Arabidopsis thaliana: one gene and its partners. The protein of the gene in region 2 interacts with the protein of the main gene of each other region in a pairwise test. Each region holds a gene or a part of one and is shown on either strand. Other genes may lie near its edges.

Evidence for each region.
Region 1: the proteins of AT1G48195 (region 2) and PRMT3 interact in a two-hybrid assay, tested with the Arabidopsis thaliana proteins (one large-scale study listed by BioGRID).
Region 3: the proteins of AT1G48195 (region 2) and AT5G40710 interact in a two-hybrid assay, tested with the Arabidopsis thaliana proteins (one large-scale study listed by BioGRID).
Region 4: the proteins of AT1G48195 (region 2) and RPL interact in a two-hybrid assay, tested with the Arabidopsis thaliana proteins (one large-scale study listed by BioGRID).

What each region holds. Positions count from the first base shown.
Region 1 is NC_003074.8:3,907,761-3,915,767, reverse strand, and holds PRMT3 (protein arginine methyltransferase 3), read right to left. Parts: upstream 5,288-8,007; 5' UTR 5,127-5,287; coding exon 4,809-5,126; intron 4,729-4,808; coding exon 4,261-4,728; intron 4,146-4,260; coding exon 4,048-4,145; intron 3,816-4,047; coding exon 3,737-3,815; intron 3,653-3,736; coding exon 3,413-3,652; intron 3,326-3,412; coding exon 3,158-3,325; intron 3,081-3,157; coding exon 2,646-3,080; 3' UTR 2,392-2,645; downstream 1-2,391. Other genes in the region: RBR1 (retinoblastoma-related 1), read left to right, coding at 1-256, 352-514, 613-685, 807-983, 1,077-1,196, 1,279-1,411, 1,504-1,616, 1,725-1,840 and 1 more; AT3G12260 (LYR family of Fe/S cluster biogenesis protein), read left to right, coding at 5,431-5,649, 6,334-6,516; TGA6 (TGACG motif-binding factor 6), read right to left, coding at 7,185-7,331, 7,457-7,702, 7,777-8,007. UniProt on the Arabidopsis thaliana protein: Protein-arginine N-methyltransferase that catalyzes both the monomethylation and asymmetric dimethylation of the guanidino nitrogens of arginine residues in target proteins, and therefore falls into the group of type I methyltransferases.
Region 2 is NC_003070.9:17,792,564-17,798,405, reverse strand, and holds AT1G48195 (Zinc finger C-x8-C-x5-C-x3-H type family protein), read right to left. Parts: upstream 2,072-5,842; 5' UTR 2,058-2,071; coding exon 1,809-2,057; 3' UTR 1,622-1,808; downstream 1-1,621. Other genes in the region: AT1G48200 (uncharacterized protein), read left to right, coding at 554-857, 1,284-1,336; AT1G48190 (Galactose oxidase/kelch repeat superfamily protein), read left to right, coding at 3,243-3,312, 3,349-3,510, 3,585-3,674, 3,785-3,846; AT1G48180 (target of trans acting-siR480/255 protein), read left to right, coding at 4,689-4,764, 5,164-5,558, 5,633-5,842.
Region 3 is NC_003076.8:16,291,765-16,299,094, forward strand, and holds AT5G40710 (zinc finger (C2H2 type) family protein), read left to right. Parts: upstream 1-3,202; 5' UTR 3,203-3,326; coding exon 3,327-3,440; intron 3,441-3,599; coding exon 3,600-3,683; intron 3,684-3,766; coding exon 3,767-3,976; intron 3,977-4,080; coding exon 4,081-4,203; intron 4,204-4,396; coding exon 4,397-4,454; coding exon of another isoform or gene 4,455-4,582; exon of another isoform or gene 4,583-4,637; coding exon 4,638-4,711; intron 4,712-4,790; coding exon 4,791-4,876; intron 4,877-4,976; coding exon 4,977-5,046; 3' UTR 5,047-5,280; downstream 5,281-7,330. Other genes in the region: AT5G40700 (transcriptional regulator ATRX-like protein), read right to left, coding at 283-369, 462-513, 601-672, 747-1,375, 1,608-1,679; AT5G40720 (C3H4 type zinc finger protein (DUF23)), read left to right, coding at 6,299-6,428, 6,508-7,330.
Region 4 is NC_003076.8:391,570-400,682, forward strand, and holds RPL (POX (plant homeobox) family protein), read left to right. Parts: upstream 1-3,997; 5' UTR 3,998-4,184; coding exon 4,185-4,904; intron 4,905-5,604; coding exon 5,605-6,005; intron 6,006-6,359; coding exon 6,360-6,420; intron 6,421-6,757; coding exon 6,758-7,303; 3' UTR 7,304-7,556; downstream 7,557-9,113.

The DNA of each region.
Region 1 (8,007 bases), on a different chromosome or scaffold from region 2:
GAAGATTCTCTGCCTAGAGAGTTGAGACGACATCTGAATTCACTGGAGGAACGGCTTCTAGAGAGTATGGTATGGGAGAAAGGCTCTTCAATGTACAATTCTCTGATTGTTGCCAGGCCATCGCTTGCATTGGAGATAAATCAGCTCGGTTTACTAGCTGAACCAATGCCATCTCTGGATGCAATCGCAGCACTTATTAATTTCTCTGACGGAGCAAATCATGCATCATCTGTACAAAAGCATGAAACTTGTCCAGGTAGTTTTATTTGTTTCTGAATTAAAGCAGTTTTCCAACCTGTTGTTAATGGTATGATTTTCTTACCAAAAATTGTCAAATTTGCTGCCATATAGGACAAAATGGGGGGATTAGATCGCCCAAAAGATTATGTACTGATTACCGCAGCATTCTAGTTGAACGCAATTCCTTTACATCACCAGTAAAGGATCGTCTGTTGGCCTTAGGCAACGTTAAATCCAAGATGCTGCCACCTCCGTTGCAGTCTGCATTTGCCAGGTACATTTTGAGTAACTATGAGTAGAAATGGAGAGTTAGTTTACCTATCTAGTTGTCCCTGTACTTGTTAAGTAACCTCTTCGGATTTATGTCTACAGCCCAACACGGCCCAACCCAGGAGGTGGAGGAGAAACTTGTGCAGAAACTGGAATCAATATTTTCTTCACAAAGGTAGGTCTGTGAGATCTTTGGATCTACTACTAATCGTTTGGTTAGATGATGTACTACAAAACACGGTATTGATTCTTCATTTTCGGCTGGGAATTGTGTTAAATGTGGTGGCTCTTCCCAGATTAATAAATTGGCTGCTGTAAGAATCAATGGAATGGTGGAAAGACTACAACTTTCACAGCAAATAAGGGAGAGTGTGTATTGTTTCTTCCAACATGTACTTGCTCAGCGGACTTCTCTTTTATTCAGTCGACACATTGACCAGATCATTCTCTGTTGCTTCTACGGAGTGGCCAAGGTGAGTAGTGTGATTCAAAGGGTTTAACTATATGTCATCTGGTTTACAATGGCTTCTCTTACACTTACACTTTTTCCATGAATCACCTTGTAGATATCCCAAATGAGCCTGACTTTCAGGGAAATCATATACAACTACCGGAAGCAACCACAGTGTAAACCATTAGTTTTCCGCAGCGTTTATGTGGATGCGTTACAATGTCGCCGTCAAGGGGTATATATACACTCTTAACCTTATGCTGAAAAGTTTCTTTACTCGGTGGAGAAGACTAAATTTGTGACAATGACTTGAACAGAGAATAGGGCCAGATCATGTTGACATCATCACATTCTACAATGAAATATTTATTCCTGCCGTAAAGCCGCTGCTGGTGGAGCTAGGTCCTGTAAGAAACGACCGGGCTGTGGAAGCCAATAATAAGCCTGAAGGTAGTTAAGAAAGGCCAGATACTTGTTAGATGTAAGCTTTGTCTATCAATTTAGTCCCTAAGTTAAATGATCGTCTTATTTTGGATTCACAGGTCAATGTCCCGGATCGCCAAAGGTGTCTGTGTTTCCAAGTGTTCCAGACATGTCCCCTAAAAAAGTATCTGCAGTGCACAATGTTTATGTTTCTCCTCTTCGGGGATCAAAGGTAAAGAAGATCATAGTGCTTAACTCTTTATCATGATATGACTAAGTCTTGAGGAGGAGGTAGGTGACAAGATTGTTTGGTTACCTTCCATGTGTTGTGTGTTTGCAGATGGATGCTCTTATTTCACACAGTACAAAGAGTTACTATGCTTGTGTTGGAGAGAGTACACATGCTTACCAGAGCCCTTCAAAGGACCTATCTGCCATCAACAACCGCTTGAACAAGTAAGTAGAAAAATCACGTCTCTCATCAGCTTCTTCCATAAAACCAATCACTGACCCAATCCAATTTCATCTGGTGTCACAGCAGCAGCAGCAACCGCAAGAGGACGCTAAACTTTGACGCAGAAGCAGGGATGGTCAGCGATTCCATGGTAGCAAATAGCCTTAACCTCCAAAACCAAAATCAAAACCAAAATGGAAGCGATGCATCGTCCTCAGGTGGTGCCGCACCCCTTAAAACCGAGCCAACAGATTCATAGATATCTCTCTCTACTTGCTACACCAACTTCTCTTCAGTTATAGCATCTGTAAATCCTTATGTTGCAGAGTTTGCTTTTATGTTTAGCTTTCTAGTTTATAGTGATCACCTCAGGCTATGAGCGGATGGATCCCTTTATTGTTTCTTTTTTCTTTTTTTATCTTAGTTAAGTCAGTCTTAATAAGCATTAATAAATGTCTTTTTCTTGTTCACTCTTTCTAACTGTGTTCGGTGTCCCATCTACTAAATTTATTTTCCACTTTAAAAAAAAACAATTTGTGACATTTACTTAACTTGGAACATATACAGTACAGTTAAGCAATTAACTATAACCAACAAATTGTCTGAACAATTGTCTGTCTTACCTTTTTAGCTCTCTATAAATTTACGCCGCAAAACAACACTTTATGTCGATTTCAGAATAACTTACTACTCCAGCATATTTCTCAAAACTTTCTCAATAGGTTAAATTTAAAACAACCTTGCAACTTATGAAAAAATCCTCAGCAAATTTGCCAGAAAAGAGTGTTACAATGGCTACAATCACATTCATAGATTAAATATCTGAACCGGCCAGTGACGCTTCTGACCCTTTGAGCTCAGCCCAGTAGCCTCTAACGAGATGTCTATGCTGCGATGCTCATGTGCTCGTGCAACACTCACACGCAGATGAATGCTTGAGGCGGGACACTCTTCGGTTCCGATGGCTTCTCTTCTGTCATTACCAGACAGAACCGAGGCCGGTGCCACTGAGATTGGTTCTTGAAAAGTTAAGATTGTCTGAGCCCAGTGTGTTGGGGGAGTGTAGGGTGATGTGGATAGTACGGTTGGGTTTTCCTTACAGAACCTACTGGTGAAACCTGTGTCAAACCACAACACAACACCATGGCACAACCTAGTTTTTGCTTCTGACTCAGTGGGCTCCAGCGTTGCCGTTGCTGTGAAATCTACTTCATCCGGTTTCATGGTAGCCAGGTCAAATGTCTAGAAACAAAGAAATTCAAGGAAATTAATTTCAAAGTTTTTCCTGGCGAAACCAAATAATGTGTGATCTTTCAAACCTGAAGAAGGGTAGGCTGTGTCACTAAATCACGCTCCGCTATAACGTCAACAATGGGAAGTCGAGTAGTGTCGTCATGTATCTCCTTCCCAATTGAAGACATGTCAAAGCCATAGACATCTTCCCAGAAAGGAAGACTTGTTGCACCTTTTCCAAATCCCGCAACAAACTGATCCAAGGAGAAAACAAGGGATAAAACTCATCAAGATGATTTCATGAAAAAGACAACATTTGAAGGGCAAAAGATAAGCTTTACCATAGTGGCCGTGTCAGGGAGGATTGCACCTCCAGGTTTCAACCACCGATCTCTTGCATAGAGCACAGAACTGAGCATTGACTCATATAAAAGGCAGTATCCCATCCATTCGCTGACTAACACATCAACACTATGAGGCTGAATCTGTATCGATTTATCTAGCTCTTCTACCATTGAGTGTGCAACTTCAAGTACCCCATTATGCTCGTTATCATTGAATACTTTGTTATCCTTCGCAATCTGCTAGAAACCAGGTAAATAATTGATATCTATGAGGAAAAAAGAAATAATGAAAATCTTGTAACAAGTAGAAAAAAAGGTAACCTTAGTTGCAACTTTGGCCATCTTCTCACTAGCTTCAACTGCAACTACCCTTGAAGCCCCAGCTTTAGCAGCAAAAAGACTGCAGACAAAGGATAAATGGTTATTGCATGCAAACTAAAAATAAGAAGTACCAAAAGTTTGACTTAAACAATCAAAGGATCTGCATATAGGCAAGAGAAATTCAAGGAAGCCTTCAGAATATGAAATAAAAGAAGCAAATAGAACCACATGTTTAAAGCTTCGTTTAGAGAATGAGAAGAAACCTAAATGAGATGGCCAATATAGAGTGAGAAAGATAACTGCAAACTCACCTCAATATCCCAGTTCCACAACCAACATCCATTACAACAGAGCCATTCAAGAGAGTAGGATTCTTCAAAAGTGCATCTCGGTATGCTTCTGTTCTAACCTGTTACAGACATCAGACACATTGAATAAACCTGACAGCTGATAGTCTTTCTTCATATGGTGCAAGTGCAGGTTAGTTAATTATGACACAATTCCAGAAAAGATTAGTGCATTACCTTATCACTTAGCATCTCCCTGTGAATGCCAAACGAACTATAAGATCCAAAATAGTTCTCATTCACCTTTCTGATGTTCCTATTAACTAGCCTTCCATCACAAACCTTTGGTTCTGCATCTTTCCCATTGACTATCAAATCATCCGCAGAACTTTGCTTTAGGCCATTGCAGTTTGAGAGCGAAGTTACATCCTTACTTCCATTTATATTGCATTTATCACTGTTCGACATTGAGCTTTCCCCTAAAGCCTCGACATCAATGCTTAAATCCCCAAGCTTCTGCAATTCCTCCATCACTTCCTCTCTGTCAAACGTGACTTCTTCATCTTCCTCATCATCTGCAAACGAGTACAAAAGTGAATCCTCCTGCCAAAAAGGCTTCAGATACTTCTCTTCATCCCAAGGAAACTTAACATCTTTGTAATCATCAGCTTCAATCTTCCAACTGAAACACATGTTCTCAGCCACCTAATTCATTAAAGGAACCAAATTTAAACAAAAACAATAAAATTAGAGAAACCAAAAACGAAGGAAGCAAAAACACAAACCTGTGAGCGAATATAGTTGATGAGCTTAAAAGAAGAGTAGAAATCGAGCTTCAATTCCTTTCTAACTCCATGAAAGTCGAATCCGTGGCTTAGACGACAGTGTTCGAAGAGTAAATCACAGGAAACGAAGTGAGAATCACAAAACAAACACAGAAAATCAGATTCCGAGTCGTCACCATCATCCTCCTCCTCCTCCTCTCCTCCTTCTATACCATTATCATCAGCTTTCCAGTCTCCCCAATCTCCTTCGTCTGAGTAATTTTCTTCTTCATCCTCGCTGTAGTTGAGAATCTCGTGCTTCACCATTGTCGCCGCCATGAGAAAGATAACGGCGCCAAGTTCTTAAGAGAGAGGTTTAAGAAAGCGGAGACACCCCGGCGGGATAGAAAAACAATTACCTTCTTACCCTTTTTTGTAAACCGAAACTAACCGGAAATAATTACGGCTATTCTCTACATCAGCTTAGGCCCATAAAAAGCCCATTAGCCACTCACTTCGAAACGACGTCGTCAGATAACTCTGGAAGCAATCAGATAGTCAGATGTTTGTTTCTCTATTCGGCTACTCATTTCTCTTTTAATCTCAGGCAGGAAGGTGAAATTTTTCGATTTCGTAGATCAAAATGGCGGCACCATTCGCGTTGAGGAAAATCGGTGTTCCTCCGAACTCGGCGAACCTGACGGAAGCTCGCCGCCGTGTTTTCGATTTCTTTAGAGCTGCCTGTAGATCTATCCCCACCATCATGGACATTTACAATCTTCAAGATGTCGTCGCTCCTTCTCAGCTCCGCTATGCTATCTCTGCTCAGATTCGGAATAACGCTCACATCACCGATCCTAAGGTACTTTCCCTTAATTTAACTCTGATTAATACGGACCCAGGTCCTATGCGATGGCGAAATTGAAAGCATTTTCCTTGTTTGGCTAATGCGTCTTGGTTGGCTACCAAACAATGAGCTGTTTTATATTTGTTAATCTGATCGTATCTGCTTTCTATTCCACTTTTGGCTTGGATTTATTGTCAGCTTTGTTTGAGTGTTGTTGAAAGCTGAAAGCTTACACCTTCTATCGTGTAGAATTTGTGCAAGTAGTTTATGTGAGCGGAGACTTTTAATTTCTTGGTAGTCTTATCTTATGAACAAAAAAGTGTCTTGTGAATTGGGTGCTTGGTGAAGATTTACTTGGAGCGAAAAGGTGGGAGCTTTACCGGTTACATCCTGCTAAAGCTGTGTTCCTTTCTTCTTTGCATTTGTTTTCTTTCATAGATGAGTCTGTTGTCGTCGATACAGTAAACCTGCTACAAAATTATATACTTCATATCAAAATGGTGTTCTTTCTCGTAGTATGACAGCATTGTTGGCATTTGGTACCAAAGTTAAGATTTGCTTATGTGGTGAATGGTTAGTTGTTTGTATTTTGAACCATCAATTCAAAGCATCTCCTTGAGTGTGGGTGTAGTGATCTCGGATTGGTTCTCTTTTAAGGTGATTTTAGAATGCAATCTGATGGTGGTCTTGCTTCTGCAGGTAATTGATCTTCTTATATTCAAAGGAATGGAAGAGCTGACTGACATTGTGGATCACGCAAAGCAGCGTCACCACATCATCGGTCAATATGTGGTGGGTGAAGGGCTCGTGCAGAATACTGGAAACAAGGATCAAGGAAAGACTGATTTTCTCAAGAATTTCTACACCAGCAACTACTTTTGAACTGGTGATGTTTACTTTTCGAGTTTCACATAAGCTGTACTGTTTATGCTGCTTCAGTTCTTGCTCAAGTTTGCATATGTCTTGCCAGTATTGTATTCTCGACATTTGGAAGAAGTCTTCTTCCTGGAAATAATTAGATCTTTTCATTTGTATGAGTATTTTCTCTGACTCAGGTTGGTTATACATAGTATTAGCCAAACCTCTGTAAGCTTTATGTGTGACAGTGTTTACTGGGCAATCTTGCTATGATTTCAAGATACACAATCTGCTCTCTTTTTTGAACTCTCAATATAAATTGATTTGGTCTGCTGGAGTTTATGATCATACAATCCAAGTTCCTGAAAGGATCCCATCTTCTGTCATGTTGGTAATTGCGACCTTACACTGATCACCTATCCGCTTTGAATATTCAAAGACCTATAAACATTCACTCTATAAAACTATGCAACCTGATGGCTAAAAATTACAACACACACAACACTCGAGTCTTGCGGACCTCAGGAAACCAATTTCAAAACCTGCAGTCTTCTTTCCCAAAATATTGCTTTTGGTAAGAATCTGAGAATGCCTTGCTTTGTGATCGATCTCTTGGAAGGAGTATCCCTGCCGATCTGAGTCATAAGATTATGTATAGGGCTGACTGCTGAGTAGAGCACTATTCTTCTGTTTCACTCTCTTGGCCGGGCAAGCCACAAGGAACTAAGAGCACGTAATCGAGATGAATAATCGTGTATAGCAAGAAGAGCACGAGCTGACTGACGTGTTGTTAATACTCGAAGCATCTGTTGTAGTGTTTGCAGCCTCAAGTTATCAGCCTGCCACCAAGAAATGCCCTATGAACTCCATAACAGACGGATTCATATATAAAATAAAATATTTATCTCTTTGTGACGATGAAAAGATATGGTATATCTCGATAACATCCACATTTCTAAAGTACCTGGCGTATGAATCCTTCGAGGGTGCCTAACTGCCCCATTGCCATGGCCATCTGACCCATGTAGCTCGCGACATTATCCGATGAACTGGAACCAAGAGTTCCACTGGATAAAGTATCAGCTAGGGATTGCTGTAAACTCTCCATCCCTTGAGATAAAGCATCTTCTGCCTGCTGCGACGTCTGCTGCAAGCTATTGATGCCCATTACCTGTCGTTCTGTCATGGGCTCTAGCTGATTCGCAAGAAGCTGTTGTGAAAACACTGCGACTCATTAAGTTGGCTGTTCATCAAAATCTCTCTATGGACTTGGAAAGAGCTTACCTTGAGAAGTTCGGATGAGCGGAACCCGCCAAGCCACAAGAAACATCGCTCAGCTGGTGTTTTCCACATTCCAGATAACAAGTGGAAGACATCATTCTTAGCTGCATTGCTCTTAATCCTGAAAAGCTCCTCATAGTGAGCCATCACTCCATCCACAATTATCCGGAGCTCAGTATCACCTGCATGAGCATTCAGGGCAGATCTCAGCTCGTTCATTTGCCTGTTCTTTTC
Region 2 (5,842 bases):
TACTTTACTTACTTGGCAAAAGTGTTGAAATACCTAAATACCCCTAACATTGTTTTAGAATTACAGTCATATCCCCAAAACAACCTTTAGTATTGGAACGGAAGCGATTTCTCTCTCGTCGCCGTCGTATCAAACCTCGCCGCCGTAGCCGTCAACGCATCTTTCATTTCGGGTGAGCCTTTCTTCGTTCTTAAACTTCGTTACTCATTCCGATTTAGCCTCCCAGATTCCTTGTTTTTCTTGCTTCAATTTCATTATTTGTTTCCTGGATTCGTTGTTTAGCTTATTGATCGATCTGATTGATCTCTAATTGTAAAATCAGCATCACCATCTCCACATAATATAGAGTATGTAGCCAAAATGACACCATTTGTTATCGATTCCAACAAAATTTGGTGATTTCATCATTTAACTAATGTTTGAATGTTCTTAGATACAACAATCTCTGTGTTCATATTCAGCTTTACCTGAGTTTGTTGTGCTCACAGTGCATGGTTTTGGTTGATAGTTGCTAATATGTATTCCTTTGACTGATGGATTTGACTACACAGGAATGGCGAACAAGATTGCAATGTTTCTCTCGGAAGCAATGAACAACAATGCTGTGATAAACACGTGTCTAGGAGTATCGTTTGTGGTTTTGGGATTGAGATCTGATAAACAGCAGAAGTATGTTGAGGCCTTAGCAGAGCAGAAGGAGTCACTCTTCAAGTCTAATAAGGCAATGAAACTCACCATGTGGGAGTGGAAACAGCAGCTCTTTGCTGAAGCTGCCTCTGCGGGTAATGCCGCGGTTGTTCCTTTGTCGACGCTTAAGGCCATCTATGGTGAAGTTACCACCACAACCAATCAATCTGGTGATTACTCTCAGCCCTCTCTTTTGCTTGTATCAGCAATTATCTGTATAGAATTGTTCTCTTAGATGTTTGTTTATTACATATCTATACAAACTAGAGTAGTCATGTTTGTCTATATGTCACTTGTAGAACAAACAAATACTTTCCCTAGATTTAACAACAGAAGAGGGCTTACTGGTTTGAGAATGTGTGGTTAGGTATCACTGTTTGATACATCAATTTACATCTGTGCAAGTACAAACTAGGCTAGATTGGTGGGGTTGATAAAGAAAACCTGACGCACGTATTGAATTCAAAGAGAAATGGGGTTAGAATCGATATGATTTAGAGTGTAACATGAAGGGAAATAGATATGAACATGATTAGAAGCCGCCTTTCGGAGATTAGCTGTGTGTTCACTAACTGGTTTTATGTTCTTTCTTCCAGGTGACACAGCCAAGGAAGATTCTAAAGTGTCCACTCCCAAGATCATGATATGAGAGGTTGTTAAATTTTTGGTAGGTTCATTTCACTTCAAATTATTCACTCGGCTAAAGTAAAGATTAGCATTTAGTCTCATCATTTGCATAAATTGCACTTGTAAACTAGTTTGGCATCTATTGTCTGTTGTTGTGATCTTTTTTTTTTGTACCTCCTGGTATGGACAAAGCTCCTAAAATAAGGTAAGACCCTCCTTTGGGTTGATTCTTAAGGCTTTCACTATGTACCATTAGTCCAAAATTTGGAGACGACAAAGCCTTGTTTGTTGGGTAAACTTGAAAAGAAAAATCCAATTTTGTTACATGAAATGAAAATTTGATACCATGGTGATTAACTTGATCCTTAGATTAATAACATCCTTTCATACATATAAAGAGTAAATAAAACATAGATATTAGAATATTATTGAAAATAAACACGAGATAAGGAATATCAGTTTCAAATTTATCATTTGCAAGTTGAGGATGATGGTTAGGTAAAATGGTCGAATTTACAAGTCGGACCGGATCTGCAAATGCCGAAGCGACTGTAATGCGGGCAAATGGCTTGACCAGGTCTTAATGGTAAGCCCTTGTCATTGAGAGTACATTGAGGCTCGCTCGGCGTTATATTCTTCGGGTGATGGTATTTGCAGTTTTGTTTCAGATAACAGTTTCCAGTTCTAAGATAATAGCTGCACTCTGGTTCGCCTGGACGTTCTGGGAATTTTTCTTCAGACATATTTTCTCTTCTCCTAGTATTATATTGTTTGCATGTACTTGTATATCTCTTCTACCTATAATCTATATATATTACCAGAAGAAAATCTAGCATTGAATACTAAAATGACATGTTTTGAAGAAAGATAGTATCATCTTTAATATTTATTGTTTTAGTTATAATTGTATTTAAACAAAATTATAATATCATGATGCTATATTTATATTTTTTCATTTAATTATTACTTAATTAATATTTAGTGGATTTTATTTTGCTAATATTTTAGATAAATACATTTTAATCATATAAATCTTCTTAACATAAACTACATGTGACATAAGTCGTTTTCTTAAAATTAGATTATTATTATTTTGACAGCAAAAACTCCACCTTTTTTTTTGAATATTTAAAAAAACTCCACCTTTATTAAGCATGTTCCTAAAATTAAAATATAAAAGTAATGAATACAAAAGTTAAATATGAAAATCACTAATAATGTAATCGGAGGCCGGATCGATCTGGTGACCCAATCACAAAACTTGTGAACCATTATTCGATCAATCAATGTACCGTGTGAGCCAAGGCTCTTTATTTCTAACCTAAGAATTTTCAGATTTAGGTTTTGAGGCCTATTAAGATTAAATGAACGGTATTTTGGTAAATGATAACTATATCTAAATTGATCGATCCCTAGACAACTCTCTCAAGAAGAAGTAGAAGAAATCAAAAGTTTGATCAAACCCTATGATAGAAAATGACGACGACAACGCAACTGGCACTTCCCTATGATTTGCTATTGGGCTGCATTGCACACGTCTTCTAGATTGTACTATCCTAATCTTTCCTTAGTCTCCAAGAGCTTTCGATCTCTCGTAACTTCACCGGAGCTTTACAAGACCCGCTCTCTCCTAGGCCACGCCGAGAGCTGTCTCTATTTGTGCTTACGGTTCCCTCCTGACACTAATCTAACCCTCGTTGGTACACTCTCTGCCAAATACCTAACCGAATGAAGAAGAATAATTCAAGTGGCAAAATTTACGTCCCAATCCTAATCCAACCATCTCCCACTTCTCCTCCTCCACAATCGCATTCCTCGAATCATATGGTTACCGTTGTAAGATGTACAAAATTGGCGGGGATGTGCCTTCTTCTTCTAGAGTCTCTGTCTTGGATTGGAAGTCTCACACATAGAACCAAACTTTAAGCATGCGGGTGGACCGGAGCTCCTCTTCCTCCACTGTAAGTCTACTTGAGGGGAAGATATATGTAGCAGGAGGTTGTGAAGATCGCAATTCTGTGGACTGGGTTTAAGGGTTTGATCCAAAGACTCACACTTGGAGCTCTGTGACTAGCCCTAGCGCGGTGATACGGAATGAAAGTGTAGCTGAACACAAAAGCTTGGGACTTGGTGGAAAATTCTACCTCTTTGGTTATGACTCAGATAAGTCTGCGGTGGTTTACAATCCCAAAGAAGGTAGATGGAACCCGGTAGGATTATATATTAATATAAGTAATGAAGTGTACTATAGTTGTTTTGTTGTGTGATAGACAACGTCTTGTTCTATAGGTTTCACGGACTCTTCCATTGGTATGACTATAAGGGAAACTTTTGGAAGCAAGTGAATGGTCTTGGGCCAGGTAAAGATGAAGACCAATACTAAAGCGACGTCATCTAAGGCACAACGGTCATCTTCAAAAAAGTTGGAAGAAAACGACGAAACAAAAACATAGCAAGGAGGTGATGAAAGTTGCTTGTACGGAGAAAGTAGCGATTCTCGCAGCCCTCGATACGTTTGACAACGCAAGATGATGACATCTGTCCTCTCTCTAGGGTTTTTTCGATTAACCCATTCTCTTGTCTATAAATACTACAATGTTCTACCGATTCCTTTTAGCTTCCTTTGCGTTACTACTCTGCTTCCTCTGCTTGTGAGTTTCCCTTTGTAAGTGCGATTAGTGTTACATTTTAGGTTTTTTTCTCTAAGTTAGGATTTTGTTTTGCTTTGTTACGGTTTTTGCCTTTCAGTGTGTGATTAGTGAACAAATGAGGAGCTTTTAGTCACGTATTAGGGTTTGTTACGGATTTTTGCTTGTGCATTTTGCTTTTTCAGTGATCAATGAGGAGCTTTTAGTTAGGTTTTAGCGTTTAATACATCCTCCTTTAGTTTTCTCATTATTTGGTAAAGAAGCTATCACATTGGTTCTCGATCTAGCCACATTTCTTTTTGTCATTAAAATATCTTCTTTTGCTATTTCTTCGATAAAAATGTCGTCTTTTTTAGGGTTCTTTGTTCTAAGTTGTTGGGATTTGTTTAGCTCTTGCTTTGGTATGTTACGGGTTTTGCTTGTGCATTGCCTTTTATTTTTAGTGTGATTAGTGAACGGTGAGGAGCTTCTTCGTTAGGTTTTAGAGTTTAATCCTCCTTTACTGTAGTTTGCTCATTCTTTAGTATATAAGCTATCACATTGGTTCTCGAATTTGCCACAAACGTCTCATCGATCTGTTTTTACTTGCCTCTGAACAATAAACTCTTTGTTCAAACCGCTTCACTTTGGATCCCTTCTTAGTTAATGTTCTTTCCATTTTCTCTGTTCACATTTCATTAATGTATTTTATTGACCTTGGAAATTTTCAGGGTTAAGTAATTGCAGATGGCACTCCCACCCTATGATCCCAATTTCAAATTTGCATTCTCTCTTGGCACGATTGCGAAACACCAAGATTACGGTAAAATTGCCACTCTAGAACATACTCATAAAAGTACATAGCTACTCTGCTTTGCAAGATGTGAGTGAATTGTGGCTGTAGAACTAGTATGTTGTTGAATCAATGCTTTGCCTCATTGCTTTAGTTTTAGCCTGAATATTAGTGCAAGCCAAAACTTTACCCATTAGGTTGATTCTGCTCATATTCTTACACCAATGTCTTAAGTTTTGTTCTTGTTGGCTATGATAACTTGTTTGCTATGATAGGTTTTAGATTCTCTCAGATATTGTGTGTTAGACCCTTAACGTGTCTTGTCATTGTACGTTTTATCATGTTTTCAAATCATATTCTTATCTTGGTAACATGCGAATTACGTTCAGATTTTGATTCATGTTTCCATTTGTGTTTTTGTCTTTGCAGATGAATCTGCTTCTGCTGCTGTTGTAGCGCTTGATCTGATAAGCTCTGCACGGTTTGCACTTAAGCTGGATAGTGTCTATACTGAGTACTCTGCTAAGTATGTGGTGGACAATGCTGCTGGCTCACACAGTGGGCGCAAGCTCACTGTCAAAGACTGTCTTGAGTTTGCCTTAAACAAAGGCGGCATACCGAAAGCAGAAGATTGGCCACGCTTGGGATCTGTGATAACGCCCCCATCATCGTATAAACCTGATCTCGTTTCGATGAAAGGACAAGTGATTGAGCCTCAGACTATTGAGGAAGCATGTGACATGGTGGTGGATCAACCAGTAGGAGCAAAATTGCATGTGTTCAAGCCACACATTGAACTTCAACAAGACGCAAGTGCTATAACTGTTAGTTAAGATTCAATATAAAACGAGAGAGAGAGAGACATTTGATCTATAATATTTGTGTTTTTGTGTGGTAGGGCATTTACTGTGGCACGTCAGGTGAGCCAGCCAGCTATGTCGGACTTAGAGATGCCATCATCGTTGGAGTCGAGAAGATCCAAGGGAAGTCTATTGGAACTGTGAAGGTATGGTACAAGAAGTTCATATTTCTGAAAGTGGCTATGAGCAGGTGGTTTCAGTTATACTCTCCGGATGGCACACACACGGGCATAAAGCGAACAGATTAC
Region 3 (7,330 bases), on a different chromosome or scaffold from region 2:
ATAAAACTTAACATATCGAATTCGAATCGAGTATAAAGACTATGAAAGAAGGAGAAAGGTTTTTCATTGAAGATGAAGAAGATACATACATACAACAAAAAGGTTCACAAAGATACAATACCAGAAAAAAGAAACAAACGTTCTTCTGATATTCACTTTTTTCTTGCTACTGTGCACTCAAAGATTCTCTTTTTTAGTTTTTTACCACTCTTGAATCCTAGGACAGATCAATCTTTCTACTTGCAAGTGTTTTCAGAGATTCCTCTTCTGTGTTTTGGTGTTCTACCTTTGTCTTCCTGCTTCTGTTTCCCCAGCCATCTCGGGTTTGAAGCAAAGACATAGAAATGGTTTCTTACTCGTCTTTCTCTGCTGAATAAACACAGCTAGTGTCAGTATTCATATTACTAATGGAAATGAGAAAAGGCTTCTTCTCATGATTTTGTTAAAAGTCGAAATCTTACCTTCTTTATAGTCAGCTTTTGATCTTGAGTTTTAGTGTTTCCCATCAAACAGCTACATCACAACAACAGTATACAATTAGGATAGGAACATCAACTCAAATACACATTGACTCAAGAAGAGATAACAAATCAGTCTTACCTCAAGAAACCGAATCTAGGACGAACTGGTTTTTCGCTTTTCGTCAACGAACTATGAGTTATCGGTTTTCCACTGCAAAATTACAACATAAAACAATCAGATGGAGGACAAATTCTAGACAAAACAATCAAAGCTGCTTTTGTTACCTTATTTTCAGTGAGAAAACAAGCTCCATTGCTTTGTCCGGAGTTTCAGAAGTTGCTGATTTCTCTATAGACAATCTAACCACCGATGAGTTCTTGGTTACGGATTTTCTCTCTTCTTCTTTCTCTCCAACGAAACAACTCTTCTTCACCAACTCTCCATCCTCAGAGTGATTATCTTTCTCTTTATCATCATGAATAACCTGCAAATCATCTTCTTGTTCCAAAACCGCAACATTTGTTCTTACTGGCTCATCATCTTTCTCAATACTCAACACCAACTCTTCACTACTACTCAAGACTAACTCAGTTTCATCACCCTCTTCTTCCTTAACCTCATCCTTAGTCAATGTCTCCAAAGTGTTAAGCAACACCGCAACACTTTCTGGTTCTTGTTTAGGGTCAGAATCAGATGATTGATCTGAAGCTTTTGCTTTCTTTGCTTCAGCTATTTTCTTGTAATGAGCTTCAAAGAAAGCTTTCTTCTGAGCAACAGATCCAGGCTGAGAGAACTTCTCAGCTTCATCGACATACTTCTTATGCGAAAAACTTGACCATTTCCCCCATTCAAGATTCTCTGTCATGAATCTACCAAATGAAACTGATTGACTAAGCGCATGCATCGTATTATCCTGCAACAATCCAACATATCAAAATCAGAATCTTACCAAAACTCAAAACCAAAGTTATAAACTTTCTGGTGAATCAAACTGTTTCCAATCAAACCCAATTCAGATACTTTGAGTAAAATCAACATCAAGATTCATATCTATCAAGCTAAACCCTAAAGTTTGAAACTTTACATTCAAAATCTCCCAGAAACCATCGAATTTTCCCAGGAATCATAGAGAGAATGAAACTAACCTCATGAGATTCATTACGAGAAGGAGGAGCTGCGAACGAATAGGAATGAAACAGAACAGCAGATTCAGCCATTGGCCACAAAACCTCAAAATCGAGAACTTCTTCGTTGGAATCTCAAAAGGAAATAAATAAAAATCGAAGCGTTTTAATGGGTTTTCTCACCGAAACGGCTATAAAAGAATTTTTTCGAATTTTAAAAACTTTTATTTGTCAGCCCTAAACACATGTTTTAGGAGACGATCTGAAGAACTTTGGTTGAGATCTGGGTCCCACGAAACAGATAAAACTCAGAATATCTTTTTAAATAAAGAAGATACTCAATTTTGAGTTTTTATTTGAAAATTTGATAGGAATTTGAGAAACTGAGAATAAATTATGTATCAAAGAAGTCTAACAAGAATGAATGATTCTGCTATAGTTGTTGATATGAAGTGGCTGAGAATTGCAACAAGAGAGAAAACGAATTTTTTCTGGTGATGAAATATTAAAATGTGAAATGCTTTTTGGGAAAAAAAACTCTGTAATTTAAACTGAATTCTGAGTAATTTTTTTTTTTAATTTTTAGATATATCAACGCGTTTAAAAACTATTTTAGTTGTTTTAACTAAAAAAAATGAATCTGATTTTCTATTAAAAAAAACTTTATATTAGTACTTATATGCTTACATTTGATTTTTTTTGGTTAAAAAAATGAATCTGATTTAGGGTGTGAATATTAGAGTCATTAGAAAGACTAAAGAAATAAAATTGTAGATAAGTTTGGAGAAAAGTAGCCAAAAAAGAAAGAAGAAGAAATAAATACGATTTATTAGGGAAAACTAATTAGTAAGTGATTAGCGTTGGTTTATGTAACGGTAGGTGTACTTTTGTAACTCCAAATAAAACAGCTTTGAGTTACAAAAGTGATGTTGTTAGAATGAATACATTACACTTCAACCCATCACAAAAGCAACTACTTTTCTTCCTTTGCATCCAACAATTATTTAATCATATAGCTGAAAATATTGATTGCTTCTCTCCCATAAAAATAAACAAAAATGTATATTAACTCTTTTAGCGTTTTACTTTAAAACTTTTTTTGGTCAAACAAAAGATTTTATCATCGCTTTTATATCTCATAAACAAAATGTATTAGATTATTTGTCATCGTTGAAACTTTAATTCTTTCTCCTTCTTTAGAGATTAACCAAAACCAAGTTGAAGTTTTGGTTCGTTTTTTTTAATTCATATTTCTAAATTTCAAAGATTTTATTCATTATAGAATTAAAAAAAAAATTGACAAAGTAATAGTGAAAATTTCAGAGTAAAGCCTTAAATAATTATTTAAAAATCCAACATTTGGTGGCCTTTCAAAATATTTAGAAGTTTTGGAAAAGGGTATAGTCCATTATTCAAAAAAAGATTAAAAAATCAATTGAAGAGAAAATAGTTTAAAGCATTTAAAGGTTTGAATGAATTCTAACCAAATGTGTACAAAAAAAATTCATTATTGTATCTTCATATTTTTTAGTGAAATTAAATAACATTGGATTTTTTCCTTGAATACAAAAAACATCCAAATCCATTAAAGACTAATATTCAATAACACCACCTATAAATTCTTATGTTTTGAAAATAACCCCAAACTATTTTTCTTTCTTAACCCTTAAAGTTTCATTTTTCATATATTACACCAAAATTTGAAATCATCTTCTTTGATTGTTTTTGGTGTGAGCGAAGATGGGAAGATCGAATTCTCAATGCCCATCTCATTGGATTCTCCTCTGCTTCTTCATCTCTTCTCAGTTTTGGGGATTCTCACTTCCCACTTCGATAATTCAACAAAATCTCGAGGTGAAATTTTTAGGGTTTTTCAGCAATTTCAACTGTAAATTTCGTGTAGAAGAATGTCTGTATCACTTTAGGGTTTGTAATCGATTTGGCTTACTTGGGATTTACTTAGAATTCTAGATTTTGTTCAAATTTTGAAGCTTTGTGGTTGTTGTTCTACAGGGTTTTAAAGATCCTGAAGACGGTTTTCATGAGATTCATTGTTCAAGAGAACGTAGCAGAGTTGCTTGGAAAATCATTCAAGAGGTATGAATTGAAAGCAGTGGTTTTTATTATTTTTTATGCAAATCTGTAGAGTTTTCTCATTGATCTTTGTTGTTGCTGTGAAGTATCTCATGCCGTATGTGGAAAAGGAGCGGTATCAGTTACCGAGTACTTGTAGAGTTCATCGAGACAATGACATTTATAGAGAACAAGAAGAGCACAAATTGCGTTCAGATATTAATGAGTGGCGTTGTGGATTCTGCAAAAAGGCTTTTTATGAAGAGAAGTATCTCGATAAGCATTTCGATTCGCGCCATTACAATTTACTTAATGCGGTATATACTGATGCATTATTGTTAAAATGATCCATCTTTCTGTGACAATTCATACTGTTTTGGGGTCTATTAGCGATTCATAACTTATGTGCTTTTGAATCCAGAGTCATGGTAAATGTCTGTCGGATCTTTGTGGAGCGTTGCATTGTGATCTTGTTGTAGACACAGCTCGGCTTAAGTCCAAGTGTAATCCTGCAGCTGCTGCAAAAAACCGGCACTTATGTGAGGTACATATTTTTTTAGTTTTGATTCGGTCAATATCATATGACAAGTTTGGACTCTAATACTCAAAGAAACCTTGTAGCTTCTGAGAATTGCAAAGAACATTTCACTGAAAGATTTGAACACTTCTGAACATATTGTCTTCGTTCTGTTTCTTGTGTTCCCGTGCTTATCTGCTCTGGTGTGGTTGCATTGCAGAGTTTGGCTAATAGTTGTTTTCCGGTAAATAAAGGTTCATCAGCCAACCGTCTTCACGGTATTAGAACCTTCCTGAATTTTACTATCTTATTTCAACAGTTTTTGCTTGTATTGATCCATAAAGATTCACCACTACTTTTGGGGTTTAAACTTTACAATTGTAGACTTCTTCGTGGGGGGTTTTAATGATCCATAGAGATTCACCACCCTTTTTTGGGGGTTTTAACTTTTAAAACTGCAGATTTCTTCTTGCGTCAGTTCTGCGATGCACATACATGTTCAGGAGGATCAAAGCCCTTATCTCAAAAACCAAAGGTAACATAATAAACCCTTTTTTTGTAAATGATATTATATCATATCATATCTCATTTAATCTCAGTCATATGTTTTGCAGAAGAGGAGTATAGTGTACATTATTTTCTCCATCATCGTTTTGGTAGTGCTTCTTCTCTATTACAGCTTTGTCTATTTGTTCCGAAGGTAACAACAACATTAAAATACTGTTTCAGATTTCCTTACAACTCTAAAACCGAAAAAGGCCCTCATGAACTCATTGTTCTTACGTTTTACTAATCTGTAGAGGATTAAAGAGAAGATCTCAAGATTTGAAGCGTATTAGACACAATGGTCTGAAGAAGAAACCCTTCTAACCATATCAAGCTTTAGCTTTAATGGCGGCTGAGAGAGAGTACATTTTTTTTCTTTGCAAGATGATTACAATTAGGATCAGATTAGTGCATTTTGCAACATCCCTTACAATTATATCACTACTTACACCAATATTGTTACTTAGAATTCAATAGTGTTTACTGCAACTAGAGCGGTACAATCGCATTTAACATTTCTAAAACATTTCAAAGGTTCAACTTAATTTCATTTTTCATATTTGTTAGTATCATTCTTAATTATTTGGTTTAGACTTTTGAGTCTTGATCAACCATGATTATCTCGATCATTTTATCAATTGGGCCGTTTGATGAAAGGCCTTTTGGGCCAAATTACAAAACAGATATCTTTGGAAGAACCAAAACGACAACGTGGGATAGACGTTAGAGATGACGTGAAGAAAAAAAAGGAGATAAGTGGAACCTACTTTTTCCCAGTATAAGTCCAATATCACTCAAAGTCAGGACACTAATCGAATCATAGCCTCGTCTCTTTCAATCTCAACTTCAACGATAAACAAAAAAACAAAGTGGATAAATTCAAAGCACTTAAAATAGGTAAATAAATAATGACGTGAAATATAACAAGCAAGGTATCCTAACTTTTCTTTTGCTTTTTTTCTTCTTTTGGGCAAATCTCATACATGTTCCTGCATATTTTAAACACTCTTCGAATGTTTTATCGAAAAATTAAAAACATTCTTAATTAGGATGAAAATTACTACGACAGATCACACTATACGGTACTATAACGTGGATAATTACTACATAGTATTGTATTATTGAGCTTGTATAAGTATTTGTGACAATAATACCAAAGAGTTTTAGATATTTTATTGGTTTTTCTAAGGAAATACAGATAGATAAACCTGTCGAACCGGTTGATTTAGCACAATAAGCGGTCATGAAACGTCTTCTACATCAAAGTTCGTAAATTTCCATGAAACGTCTTTGAGCACCGAGGAAGAAAGTTTAAAATTCCTAAAGAAACACACAAATTAAAAAAGGCAAAACCTAAACCCCATATTTATTTGTCTTTTTTTCTTTATCAGAGAATTTTAAAAAGGTAAAAATAGATTATATTCTATTCCTTCAGAAAATTTTTATCGTCCTAAAATCTTCGTAGCCTGCAACAAAGAAAGACTAAGAAAGAACTAAAATATTTTGCTTCGTCTAATTACTTTTTTCCTTTGGATTTAATTCTCAGCCATCGCCGCCGTTTTCGGCGGTGTAAAAAATGAAGAACCGTAGGAAACGCGGTGGTTTAAGCAGTGTCGACGTCGTTGTTTCATGGAGAAGATTTTTCCGATTTGTTTCTTTGTTCGTCTTCTCCTTCGTTCTCTTCTCTGCTTTCTTCATCTTCTTAGGTATTAATCCAACAATTAATCACAACCGTTTTAATTTATTTATTATTACTTAATACTAATTAATATTTGTATAAATCAGGCAAAATTCGACCGGTGGTGCGGTCTTCGGTCAACGCAGTTCTTCGTGGTTCTGTACCGGTGGTTAAGGTGATCACGATCCATGAAGCAGTTGAGTTTCCCGACCAAACATTGATTTTCCTAAAATACCCTCCATCTTCTCGGTTTTTTACGAAAGAGGACCTCTTTTGCGTTTTCTCCGACGTAAACGATTCGTCTAAACTTTTTAAAGAGCTTCCTTTCGCGGTGGAAACCGACGACTATGGCCGTCAGATCGTACGGTGTTCCGCCGTGCCTCGTGGCAATACTGTATCCCTCGCCGTTTCGAGATGGAGGGTTGATGATTATAATCTCCAAGTAGGGCTCACACACCGATGGGATTGGCTGGTGTACGACGCCGTGATCGACGACGACAATTCCACGGTGGTTTTTGTCAAGGGGCTTAATCTACGGCCAGGAAAGGTTGCTGACGCGTCGAGATATGAGTGTGTATACGGTTGGGATTTCACAAAGCCCAAACTTTTGCTTAGAGCACAAGCTATCTCTGCGGCCCAAGAGATCGTACGTTGTAAAACGCCACTGACAGTATTAGACGGCCCAAGAAGGGCCCAATCTCAACCGGTGAAAGTTTCTGTGAGGATCAAAGGAAGTGGGATGCTTCCTTCTGTAGCTCATCCAATTAAACGTCCGGGTCGGATCAAAGTCTCGAAAACGTTTGAAACGTGTGTTTGCACCATGACGCGAAACGCAGCAAACGTTTTACGAGAATGGGTGATGTATCACGCCGGAATCGGCGTTCAACGGTGGTTCATCTACGACAACAACAGCGACGACGACATTGTTTC
Region 4 (9,113 bases), on a different chromosome or scaffold from region 2:
CATATTATGTTACGGATAATTAATACATCATGCTAATGTAATTGTTTTTTCTTTATTATTCAATTAGGAAGTTGGTCCAATGGACCTTAATTTTCAAAACATGTGCCGATTATAGTTATTTTTTTAGTAAAAAGTAATTACTTGGTATATTGATTTTTATTCGTGATGTGACACTTTCGTATTATCGTGTATAACATTTTTACATATATTTATGCATGTTGTCGTCCAAAAGTTAATTTCAATAGTTCTTGTGGTTGGGATGTTATTTAGCTATGACCTACCAAGCAATTAATAGTTTTCGCATTATTATTTTAACCTTTATGAACTTCGATACAAAATAGGTAAAATGTTGATACAAAATAGTAAACGACCAAATGAAGAGGAGTTGTGCAAGTTGAGAAGCGATGCTCAGACTCTTCCCTCAGTGCAAAATGAAAAATGGTAAATCTGCAGAGTTTTGCAATAGGTCCGTTAGCTAGGTACTAAATTCAAGTGGTCTGCTAATACCAGGACTAGCCATAGACACCAAAGTTAATGTGAGGTTAGTCGCGATTGAGCTCGGGCGACTACAAACTCTTGACCTTCAAGCACTTTAACAAGTGTTTACCTCTCTTGAGGACACTTCTACCTCAAGAAACCGGATCATCGTTTATTCGTTTATGAAATTAAGTTCTTGATTCGTTTTCACATATTTTATCTTCTGTTCCTTATAACATCCTCTTCCTCATGAAGTTGATTGGCACGATTCTGAAACACGGATCCTTATTTGGATTAGAATGCTGTCTCGAGGCCGTTTGAGAACTTGGGGGCATATTATGAATATCCCACAACAAATAAATAAGGGATGGTTTCTTATCTTCAACATCATTTTAATCCTCACCTCTAACTCAATATACATACACTCGCCTTTGGATGAAAAAGCAACATCACATGACAAAATCTTTCTACAACCCTTATCACTGCAAAATCTCGATCAGCCAGACAATTCTCACCACTTGGGTTTCAAGCCTTACACATCCATGTTGTTTTAATAAAATTCCAAACCATCCCCATTATTTTTGTAACTAGGGCTCCCCCATGAAGTTATTTTTGTGCAATATACTAACATTTAAGAAAAAAAACCTAGAAAATTGAAATGATACAATTATTATGAATTTACTAAAATTAGAGTCGCAAATCTAAGCGCGCATTACATCTATAGAGGCAGATAATGAAAAATATATGTAATTTTTTTTTGGGTTATATACTATTTTATGTTCAGCCAAGAAGGTGAAAAAGGAGCGATTGCTTAAAAATGTTTTCGTGTGGTTACCCGTGATGCAATGTAAAAAGAAAAAAGAAAAAAAAAAGAAGAGAAGAGAAGAACTAATAATTACGTGCACTTTAATTTACTGTAATACTTTATTGGAGTGCCTTGGTTCTTTTTCAATTTTTGTGGTCCATCTTAGCCAAAAGAGGAAATACTTTTATATAATATAAAATATTGTAACGCAAAGTATTGCTTAGTATTCGAAACACATTTTTTCAAATGATTTACGTCCCATTATTTCCCATGCAAACGGAAATATCCTCTAATGATTATTTCAAACACGATTATTACAGTACAGTCGAAATTACTTTCCCGGTTTAATCATATTCTGGCATATCTTATAACATATTTTTTGCAAAGGTATTCGCTTTTGTTTTTGTGACAAATTATTTATTAGGTTTTTAAATTATTACAAATAACTCTCACAGACGTATGTAATCCAACACATAAAATATATGGTTGATAAGAATTCACATCAATTTTGATTAATTTAGGGACTATAAATATGTTATATACAATAATTAATCTATGCATCTTTTTTAATCATTGTGATTGTTCTAGTTATAATAAAATATGGTTGATCACAATTCACAACAATTTTGATTAATTTATGGACTATAAATTTGTTAACATAATTAATCTAGGCATCTTTTTAAATCTTTGTGATTTCTCTAATTATATAATATGAACTGCAGAATTTGATTGTTCTCAATGTATAATCTTACGGGTCATACCATACCATCCATGCTTTGAGTTAGGGATGTCAAAATAGGTCAAAATTCATGGGTCAACTCAACTCAACTCAACCCATGAACCCTAATGAGTTGAAAATTTTGACTCAAATGAGTTGATGAGTCAAATGGGTTAATGAGTCAATTGGTTTGATGAGTAAAATGAGTTGGGTTGTAATGGTTAATGGTTTCAATGGTTTACCCAATTAACCCATCAAATTTTATAAAATTGAATTAAACCAACTAAAATCTCTAAACCAATGCCAATTTAAGTTTAACCAACACATCTAAACAAATTTAATAAAATTAATATTTTTCCAAATTTCTTAAATATACAAGCGATGAAATTGAGAAAAAATAAATTCGTAATTTTTCCACCAAAAAACATAAACCCGTGATTTTCTCGCCAAAAACGTAAACCCGTGATTTTCCCGCCAAAAACGTAAACCCTTAATTTTCCCGCCAAAAACGTAAACCCGTAATTTTCCCACCAAAAACGTAAACCCGTGATTTTCCCGCCAAAAATGTAAACCCGTGATTTTCCCGCCAAAAACGTAAACCCGTGATTTTCCCGCCAAAAACGTAAACCCGAGATTTTCCCGCCAAAAACGTAAATCCGTTATTTTTTCGCCCAAAACGTAAACCCATGATTTTTCCGTCAAAAACGTAAATCCGTGATTTTCCCGCCAAAAACGTAAATCCGAGATTTTTTCGCCGAAAAGCTTAAACCCGAAATTTTCCAGCCAAAAACGTAAACCCATCATTTTCCGGCCAAAAACGTAAAAAACTATAATTTTCCTGTCAAAACGTAAATCCGTGATTTTCCGTACCTAAAACGTAAACCTGTAAAAAATAAAATCCGTAAATATCTTAAGTTTGATGATAATGAATTAATAATGATAATTATTTATTATTGTTTTATAATAATAATTAATTAAATTATTACTTAAATGGGTTAACATCTCAAACCATTAAATTAAATGAGTTATAGGTTGACCCAACACATTTAACAAAATGAGTTGGGTCAACCCATAACTCATTTATTCTTAAACTCATTTGATTATAAGTTGAGTAGAGTTGGGTTATCCATTTTGATATCCCTACTTTTAGTACTATAGCTACAAGCCTACAACTATGGAGATTAGTGTGAATGTATGATTGTCGAATAAAAATAGAGTGACTAAATATTTTAAGCGTAAAAAGGTATTTATTCCAGCAAAAGAAAAGAAGAAAAACGACAAAAAGAAGACTTAAAAGTTGTAGAAATGTCAGTACGTATGTGAAAGACTGAGACACAGAACACTTTGTACAAGAACCAGTTCCAGTGTCACCGGTTACAGCCGGTCGCCTTCTCTTGATTCCCCAAAGCCTCTCCCACCAAACCCGGGACTTTTCACTTTTCATCAGTATTTTTTTTTGTTAAAGATTTTCATCAGTATTTTATATATATATATATATTATAAAGATCGAATTTGTTTGCATGATGAGGAAAGTATATCGAGTTACTATGTATCCATCGTTTGAAATACCCGTTTTAAAAAAAAATAATGAGATTTATTTTTAGGACTTCAGTATATATACGATTAACTTTTAACAGTTGTGTGACTAAAACGAAATGTAACAAAAATAAGAGAAAACTACAAAACAGGTAGTGAAAAATGACAAAAAAATTGTAGGACGCTAAGACGAAAAAATGATTCAAGAAAGAATATGTCTTTTCAATTTCAGTTTTACGAAATCGTGTAATAACGTAAATACTAAATCACGATTTCACAGAACCATATAAAATACTAAAATCCCACGCAATCATTAAACTTAATTCACCATTCTACGGATGACCTATGAGAGAGCATTGAATTGGCTTTAGTAACAAACACCAAAAAGATGAATCTTGACCAAATTTGTAATGCTCATACTAAATTCCTCCAAGTCTTATAAACATTAGATATTTTATATTTTAGGTTTTCAAAATATGTCATATAAAGAAAAATTTGATATACATATTGATCGTGCTTCAAAAAGACACCAAAAGAGCTTCTCTCTCTCTTAACCTCTCGTTTCGCCATTATCTCTTACACTGTTACTCTCTCTCTCTCTTCTTCTTCTTCTTCTTCTTCTGCATCTCATCGACATCATCCTTTCCCATGGCTGATGCATACGAGCCTTATCATGTTCTTCAACAAAGCCGGCGAGACAAACTTCGTATTCCATCTCTCGATTCCCACTTCCACTTTCACCCTCCTCCTCCTCCTTCCTCCGGCGGCGGAGGTGGCGTCTTTCCTCTCGCTGATTCCGATTTCCTCGCAGCCGGTGGCTTTCACTCCAACAACAACAACAACCACATATCTAACCCTAGCTACAGTAATTTCATGGGATTTCTCGGTGGCCCTTCTTCTTCTTCATCCACCGCAGTCGCCGTCGCCGGAGATCATTCCTTTAACGCCGGACTTTCTTCCGGAGACGTTCTTGTCTTCAAACCCGAGCCTCTATCTCTATCTTTGTCCTCTCACCCTAGACTCGCTTACGATCTAGTCGTTCCCGGTGTTGTTAACTCCGGATTCTGTAGATCTGCCGGTGAAGCCAACGCCGCCGCCGTCACCATCGCGTCTAGAAGCTCTGGTCCTCTCGGACCTTTCACGGGCTACGCGTCGATTCTTAAAGGATCAAGGTTCTTGAAACCAGCACAGATGCTTCTTGATGAGTTTTGTAATGTGGGTCGTGGGATTTACACCGACAAAGTCATCGACGACGATGATTCTTCTCTGCTTTTTGATCCGACGGTTGAGAATCTCTGCGGTGTTTCTGATGGCGGCGGAGGAGATAATGGAAAGAAAAAATCAAAACTCATCTCCATGCTCGACGAGGTATACAATAACATGATCAATTCTAATCTCTTTAAATTATTGAAATCTGTAAATTTTCTTTAATTATTGTCTATACTTTCTTACAAGTATGTGAATTATTGTGTTAAATGTTCACAGTTTTTGGTCGGTGTCCTTTGGAATTGGAGACAAAATGTGTTAAATGATATGTCTCTTAAAAAGATCTTCCTTGGAAAATGAAACTCCTTCAAAGCCATTTTAAAATTATATGATATTTTATTTAATTCATTATAATACCATATGTTAATTAAATTAATGTTCCCTACGTTTTGCATGAATAGATGATGTTATAGCGTCCATTTTAATACATTATATAAATTACAAGCTTGCCATCTTCATGCTGATTTTTAATAGAATTTTAAGGTTATACTAAAGTAAGGATAATATTATCTTGAGGAAGTAACTTTATATAGAGCTTCCTTAGCTCTTGATCTGAATTTGTGAATTAGATTCTTCAAATCTTAGGGGTATAAACATTAAGTGATAAAAAGAGAACGTCTTCTTTATGAAAGGAATATATGCATTATATGATCTTAAAGCTAGGGACTTAAAGATTTTAATTAGTTTATTCCGAGGTATATAACATACTTTTTGAGTGAGGAAATAATGTATAAATTTATAATCACCCATTTTATTATGTAAGTGGGGGAATCTAAAAACATTTCCATGTGACGTTTTGAAGGTTTACAAGAGGTATAAGCAATACTATGAGCAGCTACAAGCTGTGATGGGATCATTCGAATGCGTTGCAGGTCTCGGGCACGCTGCTCCGTACGCTAACTTAGCCTTGAAAGCATTGTCTAAGCATTTCAAGTGTTTGAAGAATGCTATAACGGACCAGCTTCAATTCAGCCACAACAACAAGATCCAACAACAACAACAATGTGGTCATCCGATGAACTCTGAGAATAAGACTGATTCTTTAAGATTTGGAGGAAGTGATAGTTCTAGAGGCTTATGTTCTGCTGGTCAAAGACATGGATTTCCTGATCATCATGCTCCTGTTTGGAGACCGCACCGTGGCCTACCCGAACGTGCTGTTACTGTTCTAAGGGCTTGGCTCTTCGATCATTTCTTGCATCCGTAAGTAACCCTTCTCGCCATATAAATGCTTTTGAAAGTTGTTGGATTCGAGTTTGAACTTGGTTCCAACAATTGATTAAACTAAATGCAAACGTTTAATTGATCATGAACCAAATTGTATATATATGCTTGTGAACAATAGCTTTATATGTGTGTGTCAGTGTGAATAAATATGTGTGTATCGAAGTGTATTTTTACTTGGAAGTATGTTTTAGATGGGACATGTCGACTGCTTGTTTGTTTCCCAAACTTGGAGATGTCGTGTTGCAAGCGTAATTATGTGTCTATATATATGTGTATGTTAGTATATACAATGATATATTAAATTGTTGTTGTCTGTGTCTTTTGTTGCAGTTATCCAACAGATACAGACAAACTCATGCTGGCTAAGCAGACAGGTCTCTCCAGAAATCAGGTTTCACTTCTGATATCTTCAGTCTTCTTCTTTTTTCTCTTTCCATCTTTTCTTGTTCACAATTTAACAAATTTCTTGCTAATTAAGCATGCACATAGTCACATAGATAAATATATGCTTTTATGAAATGAGTTTCTGTTGTCGGACAATAATTATATGTTTTAAATCTTTTCACATATATCATTAGTATAGTAACTATGTTATAATTTGGTTTATTAGGTTTGAATAAGTGTTACACTTTTGTTTTTGAAAATTTATCCGTTGGTGATAATGAATAATTTAGGGATTTTCTATCGCTTGAGGGTTATTAATTTATTATGGTAAAATGTTATTTTAGGTATCGAATTGGTTCATAAACGCAAGAGTTAGGGTTTGGAAGCCGATGGTGGAAGAGATTCACATGCTGGAGACTCGACAATCTCAGAGATCTTCTTCTTCCTCTTGGAGAGACGAACGTACTAGCACCACCGTCTTCCCTGACAACAGCAACAACAACCCATCTTCGTCCTCGGCACAGCAAAGACCTAACAACTCATCTCCGCCTAGACGGGCACGAAACGACGACGTTCATGGCACAAACAACAACAACAGCTATGTAAACAGTGGGAGCGGCGGCGGTAGTGCGGTTGGTTTCTCGTATGGAATTGGGTCGTCGAATGTGCCGGTGATGAATAGCAGCACAAACGGAGGAGTGTCTTTGACGTTAGGGCTTCATCATCAGATTGGGTTACCGGAGCCTTTTCCGATGACAACTGCTCAGAGGTTTGGGCTTGATGGTGGTAGTGGCGATGGTGGTGGTGGGTATGAAGGGCAAAATCGTCAGTTTGGGAGAGATTTTATTGGTGGTAGTAATCATCAGTTTCTACATGATTTTGTAGGTTGAGATTATTTGTGTGGAAAGGAAAAAATATGTTTGACGTTTGGGTATGTATAAGAAGATATGGGGGAATTGAAATGCATATGATGTGTATATTAGAATGTTTCTTCTTCTTTTTTTGTTGTTTGCTTACTTTCACAAATGTTATCTTTTTAAGAAATGAAATTGGATTCAATAACCAATGTTAAAAACATGGGTTAGACTTTAGAGTTGTCTATGTCTTGGTGAAATATAAAAGGCATCTATCATTGTTTTAATATTTTGGCATGATTCAAAACATGGTGCTTTTTTTTTTTTTATGTATGTCACAATTATCGTTGAAGAACGCGATTAAGATGTTTATCATTGATCGTTGATATTATATTTTGAACTATCTTGTTTTACTTGATAGTAAACATTGACTAAACAACATGTTTTCAAACCCTAAACCTTGAAATATTTCAGACTATTTGAGTTATCTTTTTGAGTCGGATGCAGTTTTGACTCCGATCCGCTCAACATTGTTGAATTCTTCTACTCATAAAAGAAGTTTGAGCCGATTTCAAACACACAAAACAAATGAGTTCGGTTTAATGTTCAGTGTGTACTAATACGTTGGCTTTTGAAGATCACATGAGAGCAAAAGTATTGAAAATAAAATTGTGCTTTTGTTGCTTCAAATAACTTTCCATTTGCTTTTGGAAAACAAGAAAGATATATATATATATATATATATATATATATACATAACCTTTCCCTCTCATGGGAAAAAAGTAAATCTTTTTCTTTGTAGAATTTATTCTCCGATCCTAACCATTTCTCAGCCTTTTTGTTTGTTTACACCATTTTTGTTTATATTCTTGGATTATGTCTATATAGAATAAGATGTAAACATAAACTGTATTAGCAAATATGTTTTGAATTATATGAAATTCAATAATTGAGAAGAGGTTCATGTAATGAGCCGAGAGAAGAATATAAAAGCAGTCAAATAATTTTTTCAAAAAACTATTTGTATATTAAAAAGGTACAAAGTAAAAAATAAATTTAAGAAGGTGCCATCATTGGCTCCTAAAGAACAAACTACAAAGAATCAATTTCTCATGATTTGATCTCTCACAATCCGTCTCCTTTATGTGGATGCGGAAAAACACTCTCCACACGTTTCATGTAAAAATTTTAGTTAAATTTCTAAAAACAATAGAGATACTATTCGATTTGTTCTTGAATTATTCATGAATACATATAGTGGCAACCTTAGACACTAGCCACGTCAACCGTACATGTTATATCATATATTTTTATATTGGTCTATCTATATGCTGAACTAGAGTCTAGAGATAAATATGAGAACATATAAGAAACCATGGACAACTAAAGATATTGTCTTTCTGTGTGAGTATTTGTTCCAGAAGCATTAAACCTTCGGAATAAGTATAATTCTTTTGCACCATTACTATTTTTATAAGCTTCACCAGCTCTATATATATTCTCACCATTAACATAAAACAACAACAACACGAAGAAGAAGATGAAGGTACTTGATGATGAACGGGTAATCTGCATCCTGAGGTTTAAAACCAATTAAGCATATACATATGCGAATGTATAGTTTTTAATCCTCGGGATACAGTTTACCTCTTCCTTACTCAAGAAAACACTTAGCTTTAACGGTTTTGGAGAAAGAAGAAGCATCGAATTAAATCCATTTGAAACAGGTTAGTTATCTTAGTGAAGAATATATCCATCAATCATAATTTGGTCTAGTCATTCGAAGTGGGATATGATTTGATACATATAGTCTAAAATATGATTTTATGCCAGTAATATTTTGTTT